2 linked regions of the Lepisosteus oculatus genome follow. The protein of the gene in region 1 purifies or fractionates together with the protein of each later gene. This does not show direct contact. Links are inferred from orthologs where the notes say so. Each region holds a gene or a part of one and is shown on either strand. Other genes may lie near its edges.

Region 1 (7,257 bases):
ATCGCACCTTTTCCAGTAAGAGAGGTCGATGAACGAGAACACGGATGGGGAGGAGTGCCTCTGTTTGGACTCGATGTCGGAGCCCTCGTCGGACTGGTTGCTGTAACTGGGCGACTGGGAGGGCGAGGCACTGGACGTGGTGCTGTGAGCATCCGAATCTGGAAAGGAAGGACAAGGCTTGGTCGAAAAACTTCCCGGGAACTCCCAGCGGCGGCAGGAGTCTGGCTCCCGCGCGGGTGGAGGGCGATGCCGAGATCCAGGCAGGTGAGGCATGCAGGGGGAAGTTGGAACTCCACGGATCAGGTCTCTTTGCGAGACACCTTCTTGAAACCGTAGCCTCACCTGCTGGGACTTAAGGCGATTTAACACTACAAACACACCTGCCTTGTCATCTTCTGCAGCTGGGCCGCAGCAGCAGCAGCCTGTAGGGCACGCACGGCCCATCCAGGCCACTACAAACACAGACACAAACAGATCCAACATCCAGCCTGCTACTCACTTTGCCTCTTGAACTTGTGAAGCTTCTTGAGTTTCTTTTTGCTGCCGTCGCCGCTTTTCATCTTCTTGGGTTTGGTCATCTTGAAGCCAGGCCCTGCTCTCGCATCGACCACCTGAGGAGAGACGCTTCACAAATCAGTGCCAGACAGGCACAGGAAAACTCAAAGCCACCCCCGATTATTTTTATTTTTTTTTGCCGGCATGTACTAGAAATACAAGGAAGCTTCACTTCTTTATAAGTAAAAAAAAATCAGCCCAAAACTTTTCACCACGACCTTGCAAAAAAAAAAAAAGAAGTGTTTTCTGCACAGTGGATACTTACGTGATTCCAGTTCTTTTTGGAGCCCAGGGGAAGTTTCTTCCAGCGCTTCACTAACAGGACGCAAGCATTACATATATCTCCCGTCCGATCTTCCATCAGCCTAGAACAACAAAAAATGTTTCCGCCCCGTTTGCTAGCGATACGTTTAGAAAAGTGGTGGAGATCTGGAAAGACTTCCGAAACATTTGATGAATCTTCTATCAAATCTAATTGCTTTGCTGAATACCACACTGCACTCTTAACTGCGCTGCCAAGCAAAGAGTACCAAGTGGTACTGGTACCGGTTATTTAATCGGAGACCGCTGATGAACGGCAAAACTACGTTTAGGGATCTTGAATGATGTGATAAATCACCTTTGTGGTCCAGATTGTTTTATCCCCCCCCGGAGTCCCGTATTTCTACACGTTTAAAATCGTGCTCACTGACGTGAGAGGCAGATTGATTAGAGATGTGATTCGTGGTGCGGTAGTGTCACGCAGAGGGGACATGTCGCCAAAACTGGTTACCAGCTCTTCCCCCAGCTAACCAAAGAGCGGCTGGAGACTGGGAACTTCTCAGTAAGGTCAGCGGAACAGCTACTAAGTCGCTCTTCTTGTTTGAAAGATAAACGAGTGGTAACAATAAATGAAAACGACATAGGAGTGTCTAGCTCTTATTTTGTGGCTGAAACATGCAGCTGCGATCAAGTGCATTTTAACGCAGAATACAAATAAAACTTACCCAAAGCAGAGTCTGAAGTTTTCTTCGTACCGACCGCTGTCTGTGAAGCGAGAGCTGGACGACTTCGTCTTACAAATGCAACAGCCTTCGTGGCTGCGATAGATCTTCGATTTATGAAAACCAAACATCTCCAAAGGTTCGTGCAACACTGAGAAGGCGAAATCATGGGTGTCAAACACAAGCGAAATCAATTTGACCTTTTGATAGCAGAAGAATAAAACGGATCGACACAACACACGTGAATATGGTAGTGCCTCAGACATGCCCCTGCTCCATGTTTGTTTCCGCGGTTATTACTATAAAGGGGGCGGACACCGCAACGTGCATTGCGGGCAAAGAAATGTTTTCTTTTTAATGTTAAATTCTGAGTAGACAGCAAAATACGCGAAGACAAACTTTGAAAGACCACGATGTACCATCGCGGTCTTTTAAGAGTGCATATTTAACCGTAACTAGCCACTTATTTGACCTAAATGCCGTGCTACGTTGGTACTACTGAGCTGTAGCGCCAGACACAACATAACCCATTTTCTCTCGCAAGCAAGCAACGCGATTCGATCATACTGCGTGCAAAAACAACATTCGTGGAACAAAAACAAAACTTTTTTTAAAAAAAATCCAACAATCCCTTCACCTGGGAAGGCGAGGAATTGTTTTTTTTGTCTCCCCAATTCCTTCTCGTCGCATCGTGCTTTCCAAACGGCACGTTTTTAAATTGCGTCGAAACCGAAACTTACTTTAGAAAACAAAGACAATGCGTCGCGGCGTTCGGCTGGCATATTCTTTCATCTCCCCGGAGCTCAATGGATGAATGCACAAACGGCAAAACCTACACGTTTCAGCCTCAAAGGTGCCGCGCACGCTACCATCGATAGCCGAGACGGTTCAGGGTAACTGTATCCATCAAACCTCTCGCCCTGACGTCACCACGCGAGAATCAAAGATCCTCGTCTGTTTAAAACACTTTGGTAAAAAAGAAAGTCCCCCGAAATGCCAGCGTACTTTCCCGTAACAATATTGCGATTTCCACTGCGATGCCAGGCATCCAGCTCGGCAGAGTCGAGCTTGGATCCCTCTCACAGATAGTGGGGAGGCGCTTTATTTTAAAAGGAACGTTACCAGCACTGAACCGTGCAACACTTAAAAGACAAATCCTCATTTTCACAACAACAAGTCCCCTCCACTCCCCCGTCGTCTGCACGCCAGCGGTCGCAAATGTGTAACTTTCACGGCGTCTGCTCTTTTTATTTTAAAGAGAGAGGAGGTGGGGGGGGAGGAAAGCGCGAAACAGTTTGATGTCCTTGATTTTAGTTTTTGATACTACCACGCCACGCTCCCCGTCCACGTTCTCCCATTGTTGTGCGCTAATGACCACCTTGCAGACAAGCATCTATCTGCTTTTCGTCACCGACAGACACCTCCGAGTCTCGGGAATCCCGGCCGCCATGCTTCGTGTGCGTTTTCTTAAAATCTGTAGCAAAACCGCCCGCGAAATTGCAAAAAGAACAGGACTTACCAACAAAAACTTTGAAACCTCGCTGTTTTCTGAGGGGGACGACTGCGCATGCCTTACTACGCTACTCCTGCATACAGCTGGATATTAGAATATCATTAGCATGAAAACATTGGCCCCAAACGTAGCATCACAGAAACACCATATAAGGAGTCCAACGTACTCGTTTGAACACAAATGTAACCAATCGGAGGAGCCCCGGACAGGCATTTAAGCATGTTGCATCCTGGGAAATGTAGTTCGCTTACACGCCCCCCTCCAGCCACTCCTACGGCTCGGGCTGGCTAAAAAGACTGCACTTCCCACAAGCCGCAGGGGACTGAAGGAATGAAACAAAAAAACTATTGTTAGGCTGGGGGCACTGAAATGGCGCGAATGGGTTTTCGGTAGCACGACAGCCGCCCGGGGTCGGGCGCAGCTCCTACAGCGCGGTTCAGCTGCGGGGCTGCGATCCCGATGCTGCCCCTGCGCTGCCGTGCCGGTTCGCGCCGCTCGGCCGCCCCGCAGTGTTGACATTGTTCACGCGGGGGCTCCTCCCACCCCGGCGCGAGCCCGGGCGGTGTACGTGCGTCCCGGGCAGTTTCATTCACAACTTGGGCTGCGCGCGCGGGGCGGACAAAAGCGGCGGCGCCCCGCGAGCTCCTGCTGCGCGCGAGGAGCCCCGTTCACCTCGTTCCCACGTGTCACGCACTTTTTAAAAAACACACACACACCCGCAAAGTCCCATCGAGGGCGGTTAAAAGCAAACCCTGTTTTCCCGTTTTGTTTTGTTTTGTTTTTTTGCTGTCGTTCGCGGGCTCGCAGGAGTTTTGTTTCGCCTGCGAGGTCCCGCTCGCTACATGCGCTTCATATAATGCGACCAAGCACCCCGAGTCCTTGCATAAAACGCACCTGGGCTTAGTACTGTAAATCTTATTTTTAGCGTTACCTACGCAGTCGCGTTTATTTTGGAGCCCTCGATGAAAATAGCAAGCCCTTGTTCGATTAACTGGGTCACTGAGCAGTGATAGAAATACCGTATTTTCAGTGGAACTGTACCTGCTATTGTCTAATCAAATTTGCTGTGTATACGGTCTATACTGCATATTAGTTTGCAGATTGCTGCAAAACTAGACAGACCATGCAGGTCTTTATGAAATATAAAATACAGAGCGAGCTGTAGAAAATCACAAAAACGGGAACGCAGATCAATGCATTAATTGTGAGAATTCACAATTTTGTATGTTATTAGAGATCTTAAATGCTTTAAAAGGACCTAGAAAGTCAGTGTAATAGTAACCGTTTCGGTTGTTATTTGAAGGACTGGTCTTTTAACATTTACAGCGTTCTGTAAATTCAAGGTTTTCAAGGTGTTTTAAATTGCAATTGTACCTTGAAACAGGCATAACGTGTTAATGCACCCTATTACTTTATTTAGTATTTAGACAACACACATTTAATTTGTTTAATAATTTCAAAATTGCTTTAAGTGTCGAAAGAATATCTGGAAATACAGCCAATTTCTGTGGCAAATATCGTTCTTATGAACCAAATGAAGTGTTTTAATGAAACTGCTCTACTCTTAAAAGGTCAACACCAAGTGGAAATAAATAAGAAGCCTTACTGTTAGGAAATGTTTACCATTTATTCATCAGGACATGTGTAAAATACAAGTGTAACTACTCAGGGCCATTTCTCTAGTTCAGAGCTACATTTCCTATACAGAATAGATACAACCAGAGCAGTTACAAAGATAAAAAGGATGCCTTCTATAAAACCACTTCCCAGATACATTATTAATTGCAATCTACATACTACAGAGCAAGTTCATGGTTTATGTAAAAATATACAATACACTTTTACATGGAGACATTATCCTTTTGTTTTATTACATTTTATACACTGTACAGTTAACCACTTCTTATTTTACACTACACAACACTGCTTTATTAACCTTTTTTAAAAAAGTAGTATCTGTCCCAAGAAGCTCAGCCTGTATATGGTTTCAGACTGAAGGCGGATGAAATATCAGCACTAGCCAAGCATTTTGGGGATGAAATGGTCAAATTTAATGTTTCCATGAAGCTATTATGCCTTCAAACTCTGCTGCCAAGTACAATGGGACAAAAGTCTGAACCATATAACCCTTAATTTTTCTTGTTTTTTACTTTTGCTCTGTGTAGTGAATATTGCATAGCATATTAACAGCAGCAATCTTAACTCTATGGGAGATGGCTACTGGAGCTGAGAAATACAGCCACTGTCTTTAAGTGAAATATAACACTGTAAACTTCCACTATTCTCCATGGATTCACATGGCTCAGGAATACAAATGCATGTCTGTATACTTGGATAGAACTGTATTCACAAATACAATTTCTTATTTTTCCCCAGTGTTAAAAGATTCACCGTGTCCTTGTAGTGTCTTGCGAAACAAGCAAATTGCAGAATACCCCAGATCATGTCAAAAACTGAGATTACTCTACAGGAATGTGGACTAAAAAGTGAAAGTGTCAATGAATTTGATGACGTTAAAAATTGTCAATGTTTTCATTTGGGAGAATAATATACAAGAAAAAAATCCTCTAGCCCAAAGTGCCAAGCAGATGCCCTCCAAATTTACTGAGCTGGGAAAATACTTCCTCAGAAAGACCCTCGTCACAGTTTGTTAATCAAAGAGGATCCGGTACCAGAGGTGAGAAGTAGCTTCATTCTCGGACGTAGTTGGAAAAACGTTGCGAGTTGAGGGTCCGAACCACCAGAATGAAAACGCAACCCCATCCCATTAATCTCGTCAAGCTGATTTTGTTCTGTTTCAATCACATTATCAGCACTGGCCGCACTGGGAACAAACTCCCAAAAAGGGGGCAATTCAGAACTTAAACCTACGTGTCTTTGGGAAGAGGGGGGAAACCACAGCAGCCCACGAAAATCCACAAGAACGGGGGGGGGGCAAAAATGAAATACCCCCAAAACAGAGGACTGTTTCGAACCAGGAATCAGTCCAAGACCCTGGAGGTGTGAGGCAGCAAAGCTAACTGGAAATTGTACTATCATCCGCCACGTTCTAAACCCAGGAAGAAAGCCTTGAAGTGGACCTTCAGATCCTATCAGATTACAACCTATGAACTTGTAAGTGCCACAGGAGGATGTACTGAAGTCTACTCCAAATCCACACACGCTTGTTAAAAATGGCAGCAAACTAAACACAATCAAACCTAGATCCTACATCCTCCACTGCGACCTACATCCAAATGTGAAACTCCCAAACCTGGTCACTGGCTTATTTGATAATGCCTGTTTTTCAGCGGATGGGTAACTAAAAACATACACTGTATATATCTCGAGAAGTGCAAGAGGATATTTTTTTGCGGACAATTCAGTAATTCACATGCCAGGTGGTGGGCAGATGGAGAAAGTGTCCTGTCAGTAACGGAGAGGATGTCTGGCTCAGCACAAACCTCCATGAAAACAGAATGATTCCCACAATCCTGTTCTTGGAATGACAAGGAGATTCAGAGAAAGAGCTTAGAAGGAATGTTACTTATACTCAGTCTCAGTGAAGTCTGAACAGGTTAAAAAATAATAATAATAAATGTGAAAGCATGAACAAGTAAAAGCACAGACAGAAAAACAAGTCAACTTTTAAAGTAGAATGGAGGTTAATGGTTTTTCAAACTTGCCGATTATTGCCGAGATTATACTCGACGGTCGCTTATACAAAAAGGACAACATGCACTAGACAGAAGCTCCAAAGCCTGATTTATAATTTAGAAAAATAGACAGGGTGAACTCTTCTCCAGCACAACTGAATGTATGATCTGAGAAATCAAAACGTGCAGAAGCAGTATATAATGAACGCTGACACTACATTTTGGGGAAAAAAATTAAATGTGTACATCTATTATAGAAGATATAAAAACTAATTTCAGTTCATTTTTCATATTTCATATTAAAAATCGTATTCTCTCCCATCGTTCCCTTACAAAAATAACCCAAAGTTTTCTATAGACACGTAGCAGTACATTTCTGCAGAGAACAACTTTCTATAGAAACCTTTCGGTCATTTACATGTCATTGTTGTAAGGGTTAGTACTTATAAAGTATACTTCTACAACATTTGTTTTGAGCTCAAGTTTGGCCTCTGTGAAACCTAAATTTCAATAACAGAGCAAGCAACTCAACAGACATATCAAAATAATACTGTTCCTTTTTGAAAATATA
Region 2 (7,175 bases), on another chromosome or scaffold:
CGTTTCTCTCCACGACGCTATCCTACCAAACACAGCAGCTGTACGAGAACGGAAGTTCACGTGTGCCAAAATAAGAAATGTTCATTTAAACTAGCACTATTAAATCTCCTAAAAGTACAGAGAACGGGGGACATTTGTACAGAAAAATAGGTCGTGACGTTTGACGCTCAATTTCAACGCGATCATTATTTTTTTATTTTTCACTCCTGTCCGCGAAACAATTTAAACCGATTTCGAAACCAGACGGGGCTCCCACTGTCCCTGAAATAAAAATGAATGAGCAAGACAAACAAAAAGAATACGGCAGCTTTTTTTTTTTAACTTTCGGTTTTCGGCGTCATTTCCAAACGGCTCGGTTACAGACGCGATCGAGGAGGGCAAGGAGAGAGAGAAAAGGAGGGATAAAATGAAAAAGAAGAACTATTTTGACACGGGTTGAGGACGGGGAGTAATGTCTGCTGTGTGTGTGTGTATCAGTGCAGGCAGCTAAGTGGATGACGCCATTTCTGTATCACAGCAGAAACACATTTCGCCAACAACACGACACTAGTACGGTAGAGAAAGACGCACACACAAAAAAATCCGTCATAACAACGCCAAGTGAAAGACAGCGAGAAATAAAATTAATCCATATCGCCCTTCTCTTATTTCTCCCCCGTCAGTCGAGGTGTACTGTCTTTTTGTCTCAACCAACTGACAGTTTCTCAACGGAATAACAACCTCACTCGCGCAACCTGCGGATGATGATGGTGACGATAATAATAACAACAACAACAAAAAAATAACACTACAGCTGTAGCAGCTCGATAAAAGCCAGCAAGCGTGTGTGTGGGGGGATTTTTTAAGTCGATTTTTTTTTTCAGGAATCCCCTGTTGGCACTCTCTCCGAGCAGCACAGCGTGATACACATCATCAGATCGGAGGGCTGGTGAGGTTAGGAAAGGGACCGGAGGAGGAGGAGGAGGAGGAAGAGGAGGAGGGGGAGGGAGGGGACAGACGGGCTGGTTTCTTTTGTAGGGTCTCCGTGAAATCTGAAATCGTTAACTTTGATTTGCCAACCCAAGAGGCTGCCAAAACGCACCGAAGTACACACACAGAGCGGCGGACAAAAACCCATCGAGCGATTTCCGCGTTCAAACGCAGACGAGGGAGGGAGAGAGAGAGGGCTCCTCTGTCCGAGGCTGTTTCGGTTGCACATTTTCGCTGACTCCCCAAACTACAACCCCGACGCCTCTCCCACGGCGTGAAACGGCAAACGAGGATTTTGTTTTTTAAAGAAACAACAACAACAACAACAACAAAACCCACCATGAACAAGGCTAAACTAAACAAAGTGACACGGGCTCAAAAACCTAAACCGACCTCCCCTCACCGCCGCCGCCGCCGTCGTCTTCACCGACTTCGAGAGACGGAGGAGCAGCCGGGGACCGACTGCGGACGAGCAGCAACCATTAAATCCGACAAACCAGGCACTACAATGTCACCCCGCTTAATGTAATCCAGTCGTTACTGCTGGCGAGAGAGTGTGTGTGTGTGTTTCTGGGGGAGAGTGCTCACGGCTGGACTGTGCTTGAAAATCAGCTGTCGAAAACAACGCTGAGCCTAGTCTCATTTCTCACCCCCCCTCCGCAAACCTCCCAACCGCTCCGCTAGTTGCTTTATTGCAACGATTTAAAAATATGTTCTACTCCTGGTCGTTTATTTTTCTCTCTTTCGCCTCCCCCCCCCCTCCCACGTCAGTCCGGGCTTTAATAAGATTTTGTTTCTGTTCTGGCGAGCACGGCTGCGGGTTGTAGTATAAAAGAGGGGAGCAGGGAGGGGAAAAAAAATATTAATTAAACGTGACCGATGGGGTGGAAGACTGGAGCAGCAGCAGCAACAGCAACAACAGCAGCAGGAGCAAGGAAAAAAAAACCACAGAGAAAAAAGATCGGGAATACAGGCAGGCGACCTACGCGACCGTAAAAGCCAACTAATGGAGACATCCAGAGTCAGAGGAGACTCGATCGCTGGGCGACAGCAAGTCGTCTCTGGAGGAAAGGAAGTCGGTTTCGGGGCAATTTCATCGCTGTCTGCAGAATCCGAGGAGCTCACTTATGTAAGACACGGCTTTTTTTTCCCCCTCTTCCCCACCAAAAAAAAATCAGATCCGATGCCTCGCGTCAAGAAACTCCTTTCTGCATGATCGGGGTTTTTTTTTGGTGGGGGGTGGTGGTGGAGATACATTCCTCCATAGCCGAGTGTAACTCACACACCTTCAAGCCAGCTAAAGCTGACAGGCGAAAGAATAAGACGAGCGAATGCAAATAATTGATAGATTTGTTTCTGGACTGGCTAAGCAGCAGGGTCGACAGCGCTCACTACGGACAACGCTGGTCTTTTCCACTCCACCCCCCACCTCACCTCCAGTTTTCCTAGTCTAAGATTTCCCTAGTCTGTCCCCCCGGCGTTAGGAAAGAAAATCAGCAAGTGCCCAAATGATCTGCATCTTTTTTTAGGGGAAAAAAAAGAATGGGCAGCAAACAAACTTCACGCGATCTGTTTATTCCTTACCGAGGAAGTCCAGTTTTCGATTTTTTTATCCTCTCTTCTTGCTGGTGCAGTAATTTAATCCTCCATGAGCTCATCGAAAAGCAAGAGCAAACGGACTTGACGGTTATTTTTGTAGTCTTTTTTTTTTTCTTCCCCCCCACCAGCCCCGGGATGCGTATCCGACACAATCGCTCCTTCTGTAGGACTCTTTCTGTGTGCTCCTCTCCTTCTGAAACAGACTGACGGACTCCCCTAAGAAACGCCCTCGATGACTGTCAAGCTTTATGATTGGCTATCTGCTGCTAGTGTCCGCCCCCTACCGACTACCATTGGTCGGTCTTGCCAAGAAAATGACGTTATTTTCTAACGGTACTATGGTAACAAAGAGTTGGGAGCGCTTGGGATATGTAGTTCTCAAAAGAGTAATCTGCAGTACACAACACTAGTGTTTCAGATGACGATCATCGGGCGCTCCGAACAACAACTCCCAGAAAGCTTTGCAACGTGCAGAAAATATCCGTCCCCCCCCCCCCTCCCCGGCCATTATGCGCTTGCTCGGTGGAGAAGCGATGGCGTATATAGCTTGCTGTGAATGCGGATGAGCAAGGAGTAGGCTTGGCTCTTAAATTACGAGGCAGGGTAAGGTGTTTTAGGTCGTTTTGTAAGTCAAGTGCGGTAACAAAGGAGGGGCTCAACGATCTTCCCCCTCTTAAGTGGGGTTTTCGACGCGTAAGAAATATTTGGATGCCGTGATAAATTAATAAAAGGGAAGGTTGCGAGCGGACGTGGGGGAGGAAAAAAAAAGTGACCCGGATTGCAAATTGCTGACCAACCAGGTAGGTGGAGCTTCGTCGATGTGCTCTTGACATCAACAGCAAAAAAAAAATACTGCCTGTTGTGAGAGTTGGTGAGGCCGCCTGCGCCTTGGGGGAAAAAAAACTAACGTTAAGGTGCTCTTTTTTTTTCTACTTGATTCATCATAAAGCCTCTGGGGCTACGTTATTGCACATAAATCCAGCCTTTCAGGCACGGTCTGTTTTTCACTTTTACAGCAGTTGCATGCATGCTCTGTAGAGGATAATCCTCTCTCCTTACATCTAGGCAGTGATGTAAGGGAATTACTCTGCAGTACTGATGTAGTTGCACTCGTGTCATCTGTCAAAGCGAGTCACATGATGACACCTTGCGTGTGTGTTAGTCACGAAAAGTAAAGCTGACGTCTCTTCGCGTTTTTATGGCACAGGGGGAATAATTCCCTAGAAGCTGTCTCCCCCCCAGATCTAAAAATGGAATTGTGAAGGATCTGTAGGTCTTTTTTAGTGAGGATAAATCCTGTTACTGAATGATCACCCTCTTGTGTATTTCAAGAAATGCTGCTGAGTTGTAGCTGGGTCTGGCTATTTTAATAACCAGGTTTTTTAAGCGGACGGATACAGTAATTCTGGTGTATGACAGTAGGCGATTTACGAGGAATGCGGGTATAAACTCTTCCCATTCTAGAGTTGTGTACAGCCGTATTAATCTCCCGGGTGAGGTATTGTGTACTTGCTTTTAGAAAAACTGCAAACGCAAAACATGGAACATACTTTTATTACCTGCGCTTAATAAAAAAGACTTTCATTACGTTGGTTTGAGCAGTGTCGTACAGTATACTGTATAAAGTAGTTTAACCAATACTGAAAAGGTTTAGGTAAGTTGTCTCCTTTGATATTACATACTCCTATTTTTTCCAAAGAACTCTTGTGGTATAAATTTAGCAGTATCCAATCTGGCTTACACAGCCTTGAAAAGAGATCATCAAACCTTAATTATTTAATGTTACATTAACATTTTAACTGGAACTTCAGATAGATGTGTAGGCCAACGGTATTCTGCTCTGGTCCTGCAGTGTCTCTGTAGGTTTTCTCCTAAAGAAGTAATAGTCGAGGAGCTGGGAGAGGTGATAATTGGACTAGTTTAAGACATCAGCAATTGACAGAGGCCAATAAGAACTAAGTGGCATGAAAACCTGCAGACTCACTGGCACTCATGACTGGACCACTGCCTTGGGCTATTTTTGGTCTCTGCATTTTGCTGTGTACAACTGTATTTATGTTTTGTGTAAATGATGCACATGCAGGTAATATTATAGGATTACAATTTTTTTCATCGAAGTGCTGTTGGGTAGACAAGCTGGTTGCGGCTTTGTCAATTCGGTGTTTAATGTTTTCCTGTCTTATCTAAATGCTTTGTAAGTCTGGGCAAATCTTAACGCCTAGCACACCTTTTACTTAACTTAATTCGTCCCTCATTCTGTAATGAAATACTACATCAATGGAAAGTTTGTTCCACCATGTTTGAGGCGCTTGGAGGATTTGTAATTACATAACATACAAGCTTCTAGAACCTTTAAATTTGGTAGAAGAAGGAAACTTGCCAGAGAATCCGGTTGTTAGACTTGCTGTTTACGTTTCTGAAAAATCTTTGCCCTACTGCGTTTACTGTGGAAGCAAGGCACAGCGGGGCTTCGAATGTTGAATACCCTGAAAAAGAAATTGCAAAAGGTCTAATTGGTTAAAATTCCCAGTTATACGAAACTGTGTGGGGGGAAACTGGGTCAGCGGGCTGGGTCGTGTGTAAGTATAATGAGCCTCTGAGTCACTTACTTAAGGATGTGACTTCAAATGTCCTTTCCCACTTCTGTAGGGGTGGGCAAAGATTCAGGTACTCGTGTGTCTCATTAACTTGTTTCTCTCCTCCATCTCAGTCTCGTGTTGCATCCCTTGACTGTTTTCTGCAGTTACCTGCAGAATTCTAGAACCATCGCTCTGACCTACATCCGTGCTATCCAGCTCTCGGGGGGTTGCCGTGGAAGAATGGCGCGCCACCGTGTTGAGCTCCCTCGCGCTGGCACTCCGCTGGTGAGCTCCTGGCCGTGGAGCTTCGTGGGTCTGAGTTTGAGCAGTCTCTTTGCTCCGTGTGGTCGGCGCAGTGCCGGCTGCTGCTGCTGCCCGTATAAATCGGCGTCTTTGCGAGTGACCCTTTTTGGGTTTCAAAGTCGGGCGGGGGTGGGAAAACGTCATACAGGCTAGAGAAACCGTTTTCCCAAGTGATGCAAGTGTTCGTTTCTTTTGCAGAGTTATCCATCTAGTGAATGCTCTTTGTGAAAGAAACCAGCATGCTGAGTGAGGGCACCTGATTTCCTTAGAGCTGTAGGAGATTCACAAAGGGTTTTAAATGTGTGAATACTGGATAATGCAGTCTTTTGCGCACCTGGGAGCGGTCATACAGACTGAACTCCCAATATTTGTTTTTCTCATGTTACAAAAGTAGTGTTCGTACTCTGAATGAAATTAGACGATTTTGCGACTTTGATTCTGTAGCTGAAACTGCTCCAGCAGAACTGCTAATTAAACGGTTGCCGATGTGCAGAGTGCACGCAGGCATTTTTGAAATGCTAATTTGCAGAAGTGGGTTTTGTTGCAGCTTCGTTACAGGTGATCGCTGAACAAAGAGCGTTTTTTTTAAATATTTTTTTCCCTGCCAGATCGCTCAGTTTTGAAACGAGCAGACGCGCTGTGCTGGAAGTGGAATGGTTTGATCTAAGCTGTCATGTTACAGATCACGATTCCCCCCGAGAGGCAGAAATAGAGAAAATGGGCACAAGTGCGTTGTTGTTCTGTGCAGCCGCGACACGAATCATGTGCTGACCTCGCGTGCTACAATAACACCGCATGTGTTAGCTAAGCTGTTGTGCACAGTGGCAGCAGTAACTGAAGCAGCTATCACTGATACAGGTAACAAGACTAGTGCTGCCTTTCATTTCCTGATCTGAGTCTGTTGTTGCACTGATTCGACTTTGCCTTCCTGTTTGTCATACATTTTATTTCTTTTGCGTTTCGAAAGCAAGGCTACAGTATTGGTGTTTAAAAAGGTCAGGTAGGAGTCTGTGCCATTGTCTGGCTTCTTGGTGTCTTAATTAACATTCTTTTGATTTGGGGGAGAGTGATACCGTATTTAAACACGGTGGAGCAGTGGTTGGCATTGTTGCCCTGCAGTGCTGGGGCCCTGGGTTCAATTCTGTGGTGCTGTCTGTGTGGAGTTTGTATGTTCTCCCTATGTTCGTGTAGGTCCTCTGGATACCTCCCACAGTCCAAAAAGTCCAGATTAACTTAACTTGCAGGTTAATTGGCTTCTGGCAGAATTGCCCATGGTGAGCATGTGTGTTTCTGCGTCTGCCCTGCAATGGACTGACGTCCCACCCAGGGTGTATCCCGTCTTTCGCCTGTTGCTTGACGGGATAGTCTCGGGCTCCCCAGTGGCTCTGAATTAGATGAAGCCATTGGAAAAGGGATGAATCTGTTAAAAAAAAAACTGCTTTTTTAATATGAAATACACATGCTATTAAAAAAACGCTACTAATTGCTTAGTGTTAATACCTACCATTAACACCGTTAACTGCGTGCTGTTCAGTTTTATGACTACAAATCAAACTTGCAGTTGCTGCAGGCCTCCCTCTGAGAGTTCAGGTTTGATAACGGATAAGTGGTAACAGTAAAAGCTTCTAAATGTGAAACATTAGTTCAGTTTTATCTGCCTCCTATGCTTTTGGATTGCAGTCATTAAAAGGCTTCATCATCTATTGTATTTTTTTAGGGAAGTTA

What was found.
Region 2: the proteins of sinhcafl (region 1) and arid4b purify together in Homo sapiens (affinity purification with mass spectrometry; 3 studies listed by BioGRID and IntAct, counting the BioPlex papers as one, with this or other methods). This does not show direct contact. The link is inferred for Lepisosteus oculatus from reciprocal best matches to the Homo sapiens genes SINHCAF and ARID4B.

What each region holds. Positions count from the first base shown.
Region 1 is NC_090716.1:9,697,487-9,704,743, reverse strand, and holds the start of sinhcafl (SIN3-HDAC complex associated factor, like), read right to left. Parts: upstream 3,015-7,257; 5' UTR 2,280-3,014; coding exon 2,279-2,279; intron 1,690-2,278; coding exon 1,542-1,689; intron 921-1,541; coding exon 821-920; intron 612-820; coding exon 500-611; intron 159-499; coding exon 8-158; intron 1-7. UniProt on the Homo sapiens protein: Subunit of the Sin3 deacetylase complex (Sin3/HDAC), this subunit is important for the repression of genes encoding components of the TGF-beta signaling pathway.
Region 2 is NC_090712.1:6,399,475-6,406,649, reverse strand, and holds the start of arid4b (AT-rich interactive domain-containing protein 4B), read right to left. Parts: upstream 3,020-7,175; 5' UTR 2,554-3,019; intron 2,099-2,553; exon of another isoform or gene 1,596-2,098; intron 1,438-1,595; exon of another isoform or gene 1,363-1,437; intron 1-1,362. UniProt on the Homo sapiens protein: Acts as a transcriptional repressor. May function in the assembly and/or enzymatic activity of the Sin3A corepressor complex or in mediating interactions between the complex and other regulatory complexes.